3 separate regions of the Mus musculus genome follow, and regions 2 and 3 are each reported to be linked to region 1. The links are microRNA targets in miRTarBase. Many come from high-throughput screens and were not tested one by one. Region 1 holds a microRNA gene; each other region holds the end of a gene's coding sequence.
Evidence for each region. Region 1 holds the annotated microRNA mmu-miR-1949 (CUAUACCAGGAUGUCAGCAUAGUU, at 2,762-2,785, shown strand). A microRNA usually pairs through its seed, bases 2 to 8, with sites in the 3' UTR of a target mRNA and lowers its output. Matches are read on the target gene's strand: a 7mer-m8 pairs with bases 2 to 8, a 7mer-A1 pairs with bases 2 to 7 and ends in A, and an 8mer does both.

Region 1 (4,099 bases):
TACTTTCTTTTCCACAATTCTTGCCTTCTACTTCGACCTAGACTAAAATGTGAATACAATCTGTAAATACAATCGGCACCAGGTGATTGGTCTCTTTCTCCCCAAAGACCTTCACATTTCCCTATGGTCAACTCCTTCCCGCCTCTTCTCTGAAGTCACTCATATGCATGTGCTTGCACACTCTACCTGCATCTTTCCCTCTTATGAACTCTGCAGGTAGTCCTGACTTCTTTACCTTGTGGGTTTGGAAGAGAAAATAGCAAACTGTATGAGGTGGTCATGTACTTCCTCCTTTAGCAGAGCTCTGCAGGACAATTACCCAGCCAATCTGTCAGGTTGAACAGGTCTCATTTTATGAATATGCTGACAGCTGGATTGATTATGACACAGCCCCTGCCTTCCAGTCCAGCACAGACCATGTGACCTTTTAAATTACTGTATTTATGTAAGCCTTTCCCTAGCCAGGGGCAGGATCCAAGGCCATCAAACCTGGGGACAAGGACTGGGATTGCTACTTCTCTGGTAGTTTTTTGGTTCCATAGCCGAGGGTCTTGTCGGAATCAATTTGGAGCACCAAGTGTTTTCAAAGGGGTATGCTAGGGTTGTAATGCACAGGAACACCCCCACCCCCTTTCACTATGAAGGAACTGAGGAAATAGATAATAAATCATGTTGGCAGATGGCAAGGACAGTGGCTGATTCCAGGAGGCTTGCTTGACCATTATTGACAGGTGTCATAATCAACAGCCTCGGCTGCGAGTCAGAAAGCAATATCTGAAGGAGTTACAAAATAGATCCAGGAATTGCGATTGGTGGGCCTTGCTCTTATGGGCCCTGGGCAGCATCAACAGGACAACAGGACAATTGTTCAACAGGATAGAAGCATAATCACTACAGGGCAAAGGCAGCAACGTTAGTGTTCAGAAGAAATCCTGGTAACAGAGAAGTGTATACTTAGATCCAGGATATGGCCTTCTTTAGCTAGCTGTGTCACTGAAGCAGCCCAAATCTGCCAGAGAAAGCCAGTCTTAGCTGCTGCCACTCAGTTAAGGGTTTTCAATGAAGGACGTCAAGGCTGTGGTCCGCAGGGTTAGACTACAGCATTGACCGGCCTAATCTAACTAACATCCAGAAAAGACCCAGAGCACATAACCAAGCGACCTGCATGTGTGGGAGTTCCATTAACCAACTAACAACGCAGATGATGAAAGCCAGAAAGATCTGCACGTGGAGGTGCAAAATCGTGGGCTAGATCTGCAGAAACCGCGACCGCTAGCACTAGGTAGGCAGTAGGTCTGGCTCCCATTAGGACACAAGGGGCTTTAAATTTAGCAGCTGCAAACCCAGGACTCATATACTTAAGGAACCCGATGGGAGCTCAGGGAATGTAGCCTTTGTGAGGAAACTAGCCAATTCTCACACCCAGGTCTGTTCTTATAGGGATGTCGCTGTCCTCCCTGGTCAGCCTTGTGTGTTTCTAGTCCCGCCTCTCTTGGGCGGGACTCATCGCTCCGCCCTGCAACCGCCCCAGGGCGGGGCTCCCGCCGGCTCCCGGCTGCCCTTTCCACCGCGGCCTCTGCCGAGGTTGGTGTGTCCTGCGGAGCTCCGAGCACGTGCGGGTGAGTGAGGTCCCAAGGAGCAAGGGGTCTGGAGGTTTTACTAGCCCAGGCGAGAAGCGGGGGCGAGAAGGTTTCTGCCTGGGCAGGAAAAGGAATTGGGTTTTTTTTTTTTTAAATTTTTTATCTCCGGTCTTGGAGGTCATCTTAAAGGGAATAGCCCGAAGAGTCACCGCCAGTGAGGTACAGTACCCCTATCCAGCTAGGAAGTCACCTGGAATCTGGCTCCTTTAAGCGTTTCCGGAGCCCCAGACAAGGACCGAGAAAGGTTTCAGTGGAACACGTGTCCGGGGAGAACCAGATCTGCTTCAGCCCACGCCCTGAAGGGGCTTTTAGACCTAAACCATGAGTCCTGTATTCCTTTTCCTGTTCCATTAAATTGGTCAGAATTGGTTAGGGGTGAAGTTTGGACTTGGATAACTTGCCCTTAGATATGTTAAAATGATATGCAAACCTCAAGCACAAGCTCCCTCACACTACATCTACATTCAATTACTATTCGAAGTGTTAACTTTTATTGTCTTTAAAAATGTCCCGTATTTAAGCCTGTTGTCTAGATTTAGTCAGCCCCCACCCCCCATCTTTACTAAAGTGTCATTTTTAAAAGTGGTTCTCTTAAGTGCAGGATGGCTGGTTCTGGAGGCAGTCTTACTGTTTTGGCTTCCTACAAGTTAAGATTACAGGAATCAGCCACCAGAGCAGTGCACTGTGGTCCAATCTACCTGATGTACAGGGGTAATGGCTAATGCCGTTCTACAAATAAGAACTCCAGGGAGTGGACTTAGCTAGTGGAATGGTTATTTGGGGGTGGAGCTCCCAAAGTCACACTGTTTCTCTACTCTTGTTTCTTTGACTCAGCCCAACAAAGTGAAGGGGGTTTGAGGGCTGGAGATGGTTTTTTAACTTAATTGCACAGGTGTCGACAGGCTGACTCTAATCTGGGATGTTTTGATTTCATAGTGGCCAGCTGCCAGTTTGAGGCGATGTCTGCCCTGGTAAGTACAGTTCGGCTAGTTCCGGTTTGCCCCAGCTGTAGGCAGCTACCTAGGTTTCCTTGTACCTAGGCAAGTGTTACACTGCTGGGAGAACAGCAGCCAATAGCTGGTTGGCATTCTGGGCCTGGTTCATGCCACCTCTGTTGTTAACTATACCAGGATGTCAGCATAGTTGCTTACCCAGGAAGAGAAGCGCAAGCTCTGCAGGAAGAAACCTGAAGTCCAGATCTTCCGACATGGAGGTTACTTAAATCACAACTTGGAAATGGAACTGAGTAAAAGCCACTGAGGGAAATAAATAGGAAAAAAAAAAGTCAAGATTTAGTGCCTGTAAATGGTTGGGAGCGGACCTGAGGCAGTGGAGGGAGTTACTAGACTGCACGTTCACTAAAAATAGGATGTTTCCTCGCTCCACAATAATAAAAGCTAAGTCATGATCCCCTTTAGTGAGCTCCCTGTTGGGAATATTGAGTCTGGTGTTGTAGTATGCAGGGCCCCTTCAGACCGTCCAGGCAACCTAGATGCCCAATCTCTATTACTATTCTGCTCTCTAGCTCGTCAATAAATTTATGCATATTAATTGACCATGGGGTTCTGGGAACTAGCTTAGGTCAAACAGTACAATGAGCAGTTAGGCTCCCCCTTTTCTGTTATTCATGATGATTTTCTAAGAAATGCCTCAATTTTAGGCAAGTAGTGATCACTGAATGAATCTGGTGTTTAATAGAGCCAACATAGTTAGCTTTTGTGAGAGCATCCTGGTTTCCACAGGGAGACATAACCTTTACCTCCCTCATATCCTGAAGGGTTGGTGGCAGCCCCCACCTGTGTCCTTCCGTTTTCCCTGTGGACATGGGTGCTAACCAGGCTGCCTTACTTAACACCTACCTCGGCGACCCAACAGGACGCCCCGGGACTTGAGTAGCTCAGGGATAGTTGTAGCTGAGCTATACACAGGCTTCCTTAACCAGTTCCAGAAGTCTCTTACCTGACCCCCTGAATGTTTTTGGGGGTGAAAGCGCTTGCCAGGCCCACCAAGCACCCTAGGTTGAGCATCTGCTGACATTCCCATCAGTAGCCTCTACATTGCTCACCTTAGCTTCATCATTGCCCTCCCATGTACATCAATATCCCTTTTGCTCCTCAGTGTAGTACCTAACGCCCCCACCCCCTAACCAGTCAAGTTCTTACAGGAAAGTTACTATCCCATATTACCCACTCCTAGTTCTACCACTCTATCTACCTGCTCTTTGATTGAGGCCCATAATTACTTTACTACTGTTCCTTAATGGCACCAGCTTAGCCCTAAAAATACCCTCCAATAGGTCACTGAGCCTGCCATACCTTTGCGCATCCTTCTGATGCACTAGTGTTAACATAACTTTCCAGGTTAACATAACTCTTGCCTTCCTGTCCATCAAATTCTTTTAAAAAAAAATTTCAGCCAGGGCGATACAGAGAAACCCTGTCTCAAAAAGCCAAAAAAAA
Region 2 (4,099 bases), not on the chromosome of region 1:
GAGTGATGCCAGCTATCTAAAGAGACTGAGGCAGGAACACAATAGATTTAAGGCCTTCTTGGGCTATAGAGTAAATTCAAGGCCAGCCTGGACAGCTTCGTGAGACCTTATCAAAAAAGTATATGAAAAGGACAGAATGTAGCTCAGCGGTTGAGTGCCTGCCTAACATATGTATGGCCTTGGATTCAATGTATAGTATAGTATAGAAAAATAGATAATTTATGTATTTTTACAAAGGCTTACAGGTGCTTTACCTGGCTGTAGCATTAGCCACATGCTCAGCCGAGTTTCTTCTTTCATAAAGTTACTGACGACCCTTACCAGAGCTGTGCTTATTATTCCAGATGTGGTTAAATGCATGCATGCTTCTTTTCAGCTGGATGCCAGATCAAGATTCAGAGGGAGAAAAGGATATTGATAACATGCTGAACGCAAGATGAAAGTCACCCAGGATTTTCCATGGTCCTTAACAGAAAGGAACCAAACGGGAAGCACAGCAGCTGCCGCATCTCTTCCACCTCTGGGCCAGGTGTTCCTCCCAAGGACACCAGAGAAAATGGATCAGTGCTGTTTCTGAATGAGTCTGCTGGCTGAAGTCATTTATAGAAGATCCATGGGACTAAACAACTATGGGCTAAGAATGTGTCTGGGGAATTACCTAATGAAGAGATTATGTTCAAGGATGACTCTTCGATCAGATTACACAGTGTGTGAATTCAGGAGGCCATGATGAGATTGGCATAGATAGTGGCTCCTCCAACTCTTTTTTCTGTTTCTTGGTTTCAATTTTAGGCCAACCCCCTCCTCATAAAGGGGTGAAATCAGCCATAGACCACATCCTCAAGATATGGGTGGGCTCCAAAAAGGAGAGCATAGGCTGGCCCACAAGTCACACCCTGCTGAAGGACGCTGCTCCTTCCTGGGTCATATGCTTGGTGATCTTGGCTAGATCCTGGTCGCATGTACTGTGCTGACACCATGCACAATCACATAAGATAAGTTATGGGCCTCATCCCTAAACACTGGAATGCAGCAAATGGACACAACAGATGTTCACTCTAGATAACAAATGTCAATGACATGAAGTGGCTGGAAAAGTTTAGAATCCTTAACATATTATTTTGACCACTTAACACAGTAGAAAGCCATCAGGGCACTAAATCTTCAGTGTGATTCTTGCCATTGAACAGAGTGGCAATTCTATATTGTTCTGTAGTTCACTGGGGCTAAAGCAGTCAAGGACTGGAAGTTCACTTGCTATTTTAAAAGTTTTTGAAGCTATGAGGATTCCCTAGGGTGTCACTGAGGTCTGCTCTATGTACTGCCCCCACTGGGAGTAGGAGGTACTGCACCCTTGTGCTCTGTGTACTGCCCCCACTGGGAGTAGGAGGTACTGCACCCTTGTGCTCTGTGTACTGCCCCCACTGGGAGTGGGAGTATTGCACCCTTCAGTCCTGCCACCTATGTCCCAAGCTTGGTGTCTGTGTGCAGTGTGGAGGAGTGCACATTCTGCATGCTAGGAAGCTCGACCATTGAGCCACACCTTCCACTAGTGCTTCAGTTTCAACAGAGAGTGAAATGTGTTTGTATGAAATGCCTCCATTTGAGTAGATAGAGCTTTATTTGGAAAAAGTCACATGTCTCATAATTGGACTTTGACTTAGACAACCCCATGGAGTTTAGAGTGTTCGTGGAGCATGCTGCAGTCACCACTATCTACTTCCAGAACAGTCTCATCCTTTCCAGAAATGTAACCACTGGTCAGCACTCTGCCCTCTCCCTCTGGTCCAGGTCTATTAGATGAGTGGAACTATGTAGTCCTGTCTTTTCTGAGTCCTGTTACCAAATTCGACAGGTTTATTGGCATGTAGCATCAGTCTGCAGTGTAGTTCTGCTGAGTAGCATCCACAGTAGACAGACACTGTGTATTTCTCCATCGAGCAGATGAGCTCTGAGCTGTTTCTACTTTGGGGCTTTTGACTAATGCTATGAACGTTTCATTTAATACATGCCTTAGAGTTGAACTCCAAGGTCGTATCATGACGGCCTCAATTATATTTTCTACAGTGATTTTACCACATTTCATGCTGTCATGGGATCTAGGCTCCAGCACCCCTGACTTTCACAACTGCTCATATTGCTGACAGCCATTCTGCTTGTGATAAAGAGGCATCTATTGGGATCTTGGTTGCATTTCTCTAGTGTCTAATAACCTGAGCAGTTTTTCGTGTGTTCATTGGCTCTCTATGCTGCCTTTGCAGAGTGTTTTCTAGTCTGCAGTCTGGCTTCCAGTTGGGTTATCTGTTTATTTTCCTATAAGATTTTTTATTTACTGTTGGCTCAAGTCTCTTAAAGATTAATTGGCATTTTTTTCTCAACGTGTTTGTCCTTTTCAATCTCTTGCTACTCTATATAGCACAGTCTTTATTTTTATACATTCCCTTATGTGGCTTAGCCCAGGCTGGCCGGGAATCCCCAAAGCGCGAGCATTTTCAGCGCTGCACTTCCCAGAAAGCACACACCGCTGCTCTTGACTAGAGCAGTTTTCATATTGGAAAATGACAATGTCTTTTTTCTTTCACTCTAAGAAACCATTCCTAACCCAAACTTCCAGAAGCTTATAAATTTTACCTCTTACCTGTAGGCCTGTGCTCTCAAAATTATTTTACACACCTTTATTCATGACCATATTTGAAATTAGTTAAATAGAAATAATACATTTTAGTATGGCTAAGTATGTAGCTCCGTATATATTGTGTTCAGCACATTCACAGTGCAGTACAGTACAGTCTGCCTGCCGCACTGTTCTGCATCCACCTCAGGAAATGCAAGTGTGCCCATCTGAGGACTCCCAGCCACTGCCAGGTCGCCCGCCCTGCCCTGTCCTTGGCATACTCTCTCCTCATGGTAACCACCATTCTCTTTCCTGTTTCTGAATTTGAGTACCCTAAGTGCCTGGTATATGTGGACTCTTTGTTGTGTGCATGCACTTGTGTGTGTGTGTGTGTGTGTGTGTGTGAGAGAGAGAGAGAGAGTGTGTGTGTGTGTGTGTGTGCCTCCAGCGCGGAATACCATGAAGGTTCATATCATATATCGGTTTCCTTCCTTTGTAAGGACAAATGGTATTGTAGTATATGTTGTATGCATATTGTATGTATCTTGTTACCTACTCATCCAGCCGTGGGTACCTCGGTTGTTCCCACCCTGGAGCTCCTGACTATGCTGTGAACGTGTATATACAAATACCCCTAGGACCCGCTTTCAGTCTTAACATACATGTAGCAGATTGTATGTCATAGGGTACTTCTGTTTTTATTAGTAGGCATTGCCATAGTTTCCATATCAGCCACACTATTCTATGTTCTGTCCGCAGTGCACAGAGATTAGAACTGCCTATGTCCTTGTGACTTGTATGCCATTCTAGAAGTCGTTAAGATCCACCAGTGCTTCTGCTTCCTAGTTCCCTGACTGCTGGTGTGTTCTAGATGCTTGGTGGCTTTCTTTATATAGCGTTTGAAGAAATTGTTTTAGGTCTCCTCTGCCCGTTAATAGTTGACTCTGGTTGAATTTTTGGTCATCACATCTACAAAAGCATTGATTCCAAGGGAGCTGACTGTAGCTTGCCCTGGGAATTTTAGTTTTAGTTCTTAGCTTTGCCCTTTGATGCATTTTGAGTTAATCTTTGTGTGTGGTGGAAGCTCTGACTTTCTACTCTCCACATGTGCATATCTAGCTTTGCACAATGCCCTTTGGAGGGAAAACATGGCGCCATGCATGGTGGGGCCGGTTTTGAGCCCAGTCTCTCCTGACTCTGTCTGCCTTCATGCCAACGCCACTGCTTTGATTACTGGAGAATTACTATCAAAATTTGAAATCAGAAAGTGTTTGTTCTAAAATAAAAATTTGAATCTGAAAACATCTTTGTTCTGTTTCAAGATTATTTGGGGTATAACTCTTTGAGAATCTGTATTTCAGGATATACATTTTGTCTATCTCTAAAAACACAAAAGTGCTGTTGGCATTTGAATAGGGACTGCATTAACCTCCTGAGCACCTGGGTGCATTGACATCTGAACGTGATTAACTCCTCAATCAATAA
Region 3 (4,099 bases), not on the chromosome of region 1:
GCCTTCAGGACCGCATTTACAAAAGGCATTTTTAAAAATTTACCTACATTTTCTGAAAGCCTCAATTGGAATCTTCGCAGCTGCAAGAAAATAAGACTAGTGCCTCGGGCTGGGTTCCCTAAAGTGTGAGCACCCCCAAGATCCACTCACAACTCTGCAATGCATTGGCAGCAGGAAAGAACACAGGTAGTAGGGGCTGCACACGACGCCCTCCCTTTCCTGAACCTGCACACACTGGCTGGGGTCCTTTCCTACCCTACCTGGCTCTCATTCCTCACCCCGGGAACCAATCGCCTTCCGAGGATGGGCTGACCGGAGAAAGCTTAGAGTGGTACCCAAGCTTGAAATCACAGGTCTCACCTGGAGGCTAGACCTGAGACTTGCTGAGGACAGCTCGATTTATCCACTGAGTCTGGTGAGGCTGACACTTTGCTGGTTAAGTCTGTAGATGAGGTTCATGCTGCTGCCTTGAGGGTGCACAGTTTGAGAAACACCAGCTTGAGGGCTTGAATGCTTGGCATAATTATTGTTATAGTGAGGCATCCCACCACAGACCTTAGTCCTCTGCAAGCCACCCTGACGCCCTTATGTCCCTCAGCAGGGTCCATAAGTACTCAGGAAGGAGCGAGAGCCTTTGTACTTTTCACCTGATCACCAAGCAGTGAAGCCATGGTTACCAGCACGGGAGACAATGAGAGTGCCGTGTGCTGGCCCCAAAGCTGGTACCTGGGAGAGCTATAAAGTTAAAACTGCAGGCAAGGAGGGGAGCCCTAAGAACTCCTCTTCTTTGACCACCACCTACACTCAGGGTTTTGAACTTAGCCTCTCTAGTCTTGGGGGGGGGGGCTTTGCTACAGGCCACTGTGGTGGAGCCCTGACCCCACTACCCAGCAGGTGACCCGTGGCAGAGATGCAGTGGGGGTATTCCTAGTGATTCCAACATACCCCACCTCCAGTCTCTCTGGGAACTTGGCTCTTCCACAGTCCTGTCACTCCATTACAGCTCCACATTCTTTTCCAGCTGCCTGGGGGCCTAACCCCCACATCTAATCCAATGAAGAAAAATCCATTCCGGGTTACAGAGCTTTGGAATATGGTCTCCCTGTGACCAGGCCTAGTCCAGGCCTAAAAGAGTAGGTTTTCTTACCTGCACACACTCTGCAAACTCTACTTCTAACAAGCAACACTAATCTAGGAATCTACAGTATTCTGTGTTACAAGAACCAGAGAACAGTGCTAAACCCAAAGTATGAAACTGGCCCTGGGTCAACAGTGTGGAGAGCCTGTGTGCTGAAGGGAAACTCGGTTTCCCTCGGCGAAGGCCTACTATGCTTGAGTCTACTAATTTAGCAGAAAAGTACCTGTTACATTTGACTGTGCTGTTGAGTGCTACTTAACATCTGTGATACAGGTAATGTTTTGGCTGCCAGTTATTCTGAACGAGAGCGAGAACAGTCCACTCTACAGTGAATTACCACAGAAACTATGGAATTACTCAGTGGTACCTAACAAATGACAGTAAGATCCCTTATATTCAAACAAACTCAGGTACACAAAGAGGGTTTAAAAAAAAAAAGAAACCCACATATCACAGAGATCAACAGCAATGTGCTTCCTGCAAATAAATATGCTGCAAATAATACATTAGTTTTACCAACACAAAATCCAGAGGTCCAAACAAACAAACAAAAATCGCAACACATCCCAGAGTTAGTGCGTTTTTGGATTCACTTTGCAAATGTAAAACTGAACTGTTACAGGATAAGGGGGACACCAGCAAGGGGGGGGGGTGCAGCTTGCAAACTAAACTGATGTATTTTTTAAACAGTACAAACAGAGCTACAAAGGTGGTCATTTCTTGTGACATGGGAGGCGTTAGGGCAAAGGGTAGAGGCGGCTGTGGGTTTTTACCCTTTTTCCTGTCTAGGACCTGTGGTCAGCTGCCTGAACGAGGAGGACAGAACTCTGGAGCAGTATGAGAACAAGCGAAGCAATGCAGAAAACAGATTTTCTTTCTTCCCCAGGAGCATGGTGGCAGGTACTTTGATGCCTAACCCTGTCTGCGGGGACTTCAGTGTGGTAAGGGACATCTCTGCGTGACTCTCGTGAGATTCCTGAAAAACCTCTGGGGGGTGTCAGACGGGAGGTATAGCGTCTATAGCTAAGTGTCTGGGCCTCCTCTGTTAGCTTCTACTCACCCCCAGATGAGAAATCTGTGCTCAGTGAGTATTTGGATCTGAGACTTTCAACCAGGATACAACTGGCTGCAATTCAGGCCTTTTGCAGAGAGCGGTCACCGTGCGCGCGCGCGCCTCACCTACTGTAGCTTAGCTATGGGCATCCACAGATATCCCCATCATTACGGCATGCTGAGCTGCCATCTCTGAAACAGTTTTCAGTCTCCTTGAAGTTTCCCCTCTGCTCCCCTTAGGAGGGACTGGCGAGAGGATGGGCAACTCTGCCCTCTTGCCTGGGTCACATGGGACAGGCATAATGGGACAAAAGGGAAAAAACAATCACAGGCAGGAAGGGTCCTCCTGCCGTCCCCAGCTGAGGCAAGAGGGGACACACAGTGACTTCAGCGGTCCTCTCTCGGGGCAGACTTACTTTCAGGACTGGATGGAGAGTTGATGGAGACTAGAAATGAGGCTTATTTAAGGTACAAAAATCTCCTATTTGTAGTAACCTAGATTTATAGATATAAAACAAGTCTTTCAAAGACTCCATTAAAGTAAAGTACCCAGTATAAAACAGGCTGACCTATCCCAGGCCGTCCTTAGGTACATGTTCATCTCTGTTGCAGAAAGCTGGTGGACATGACTCGATGCTGCCGGGCTTATAAACTAACAAATCATTTCCCCCTTCAACAATACGGGTGTGGGCTGAAGGTGGTCTGGCTAAGGAGTACGTCCTTAGGCATTTGGGCAGTCTCATTTGTCATCATGGGAACCAAGGGACCTCAGGCAGGTGACTCAGCCTAGAGTAACTGTGATGCCAGATGCCAAGAGGGAAACAAACCATTGTTCCTGAGATCTCCGGAGTGTTTGTTTTAATATATAATTAATATATATATACAGAGGCGCCGTGCCCAAGCCTCCCAGGGAATCGCTCCACATGGGAGCAGGATGGAGTACCAGCAGCCCTCGGACAGTCCATGTCGGGTGATCAGAGCTGCCTCAAATATTGGGCATGCTCAGATGCAGCCATGGCACGCAACCTGTCTCTCAAAAGGATTATCCCTGTGTGCTATGTTAACCAAAATAGGCAAATTATTTATGAAACCTTTTTTTTTTTCTGAAACCTTATTTTTTTTCTGTAAAGCAAAATAAATATATACAATTCAAGATTATTTTCTCTTCTTCTAAAAAGATGCAGACAGCGTGAGCGGAGCGTCAGTTAGGAAAACGATTTCAGGAGCTGGGTATCTAACAAGTGAAGACAACTGTTGATCGTGTTTCCATAGTTCTGAGAGGGAGAGAGAGAGAAGCCACAACAATGAGGAGACGGGAGGAGAACTGTGGGAAGGGCTGGACAAGATGGCGGCACGAAATCTGGAGAAGCAGAAATCCACGGTCCCAAAGTGTAGGTCCCGAGAGGACGCGGGTCCTTCTAGAAGCAGTGAGTCTCTGTGTGGCAACCCGAGAGGAACCCTGTGCGTTTCTGTTTCTGTAAACTTGCAAAAGAAGTGGCGGTGGGCTGCTGATGGGGGCTGGATGGGTGTGGGCGGATGCTGGGTGTGGCTGCGGGCTTCAGTGGCCTTCGTCGGTGCCAGAGGAGCAAGCCCAGTCGTAGATGACCAGAGGGATGCTGATCAAGGAGAACAACACCCCCAAGCCCAAGAAAAGGGCCGCCTGCAGCAAGGAGACATGGGTTATTTCCAACATGGCCAACATCACTCCACCCACCCCCAACTCTTACCCCCACACCGCGCGCGCGCGCACACGCACCAGGAAAGAATCGAAACCTCCACCCTCCTCCATAGTGTTATTTGGTATTTGAAGTTCGTTATGATCGTGGCTGAACTTTCAAGACTTTCTTCTAAAACTGGGTGCATGTCATCCCACACAAGGGGCAGACAGCACGCAGATCTGGTGCTGCT

Region 2: the mRNA of Coa5 is a reported target of mmu-miR-1949. Seed matches in the 3' UTR shown: 7mer-m8 at 2,957-2,963.
Region 3: miRTarBase lists Slc38a1 as a target of mmu-miR-1949. The part of its 3' UTR that is shown has no 7-base or 8-base seed match.

The regions. Positions count from the first base shown.
Region 1 is chr18:35,551,851-35,555,949 of GRCm38, forward strand. It overlaps Mir1949 (microRNA 1949), which reads left to right and starts at 2,717; the gene lies at 2,717-2,786. Snhg4 (small nucleolar RNA host gene 4) reads left to right here and starts at 1,560. Exons shown (of 4, transcript NR_038073.1): 1 at 1,560-1,619; 2 at 2,577-2,611.
Region 2 is chr1:37,416,905-37,421,003 of GRCm38, reverse strand. Coa5 (cytochrome C oxidase assembly factor 5) reads left to right here. Exons shown (of 3, transcript NM_198006.4): 3 at 377-3,919. The coding sequence ends at 418. Among named protein-coding and RNA genes, the nearest start is that of Coa5, 11 kb to the left of the region's middle.
Region 3 is chr15:96,572,962-96,577,060 of GRCm38, forward strand. It overlaps Slc38a1 (solute carrier family 38, member 1), which reads right to left. Exons shown (of 16, transcript NM_001166458.1): 16 at 1-3,851. The coding sequence ends at 3,750. Among named protein-coding and RNA genes, the nearest start is that of Gm32457, 6.8 kb to the right of the region's middle.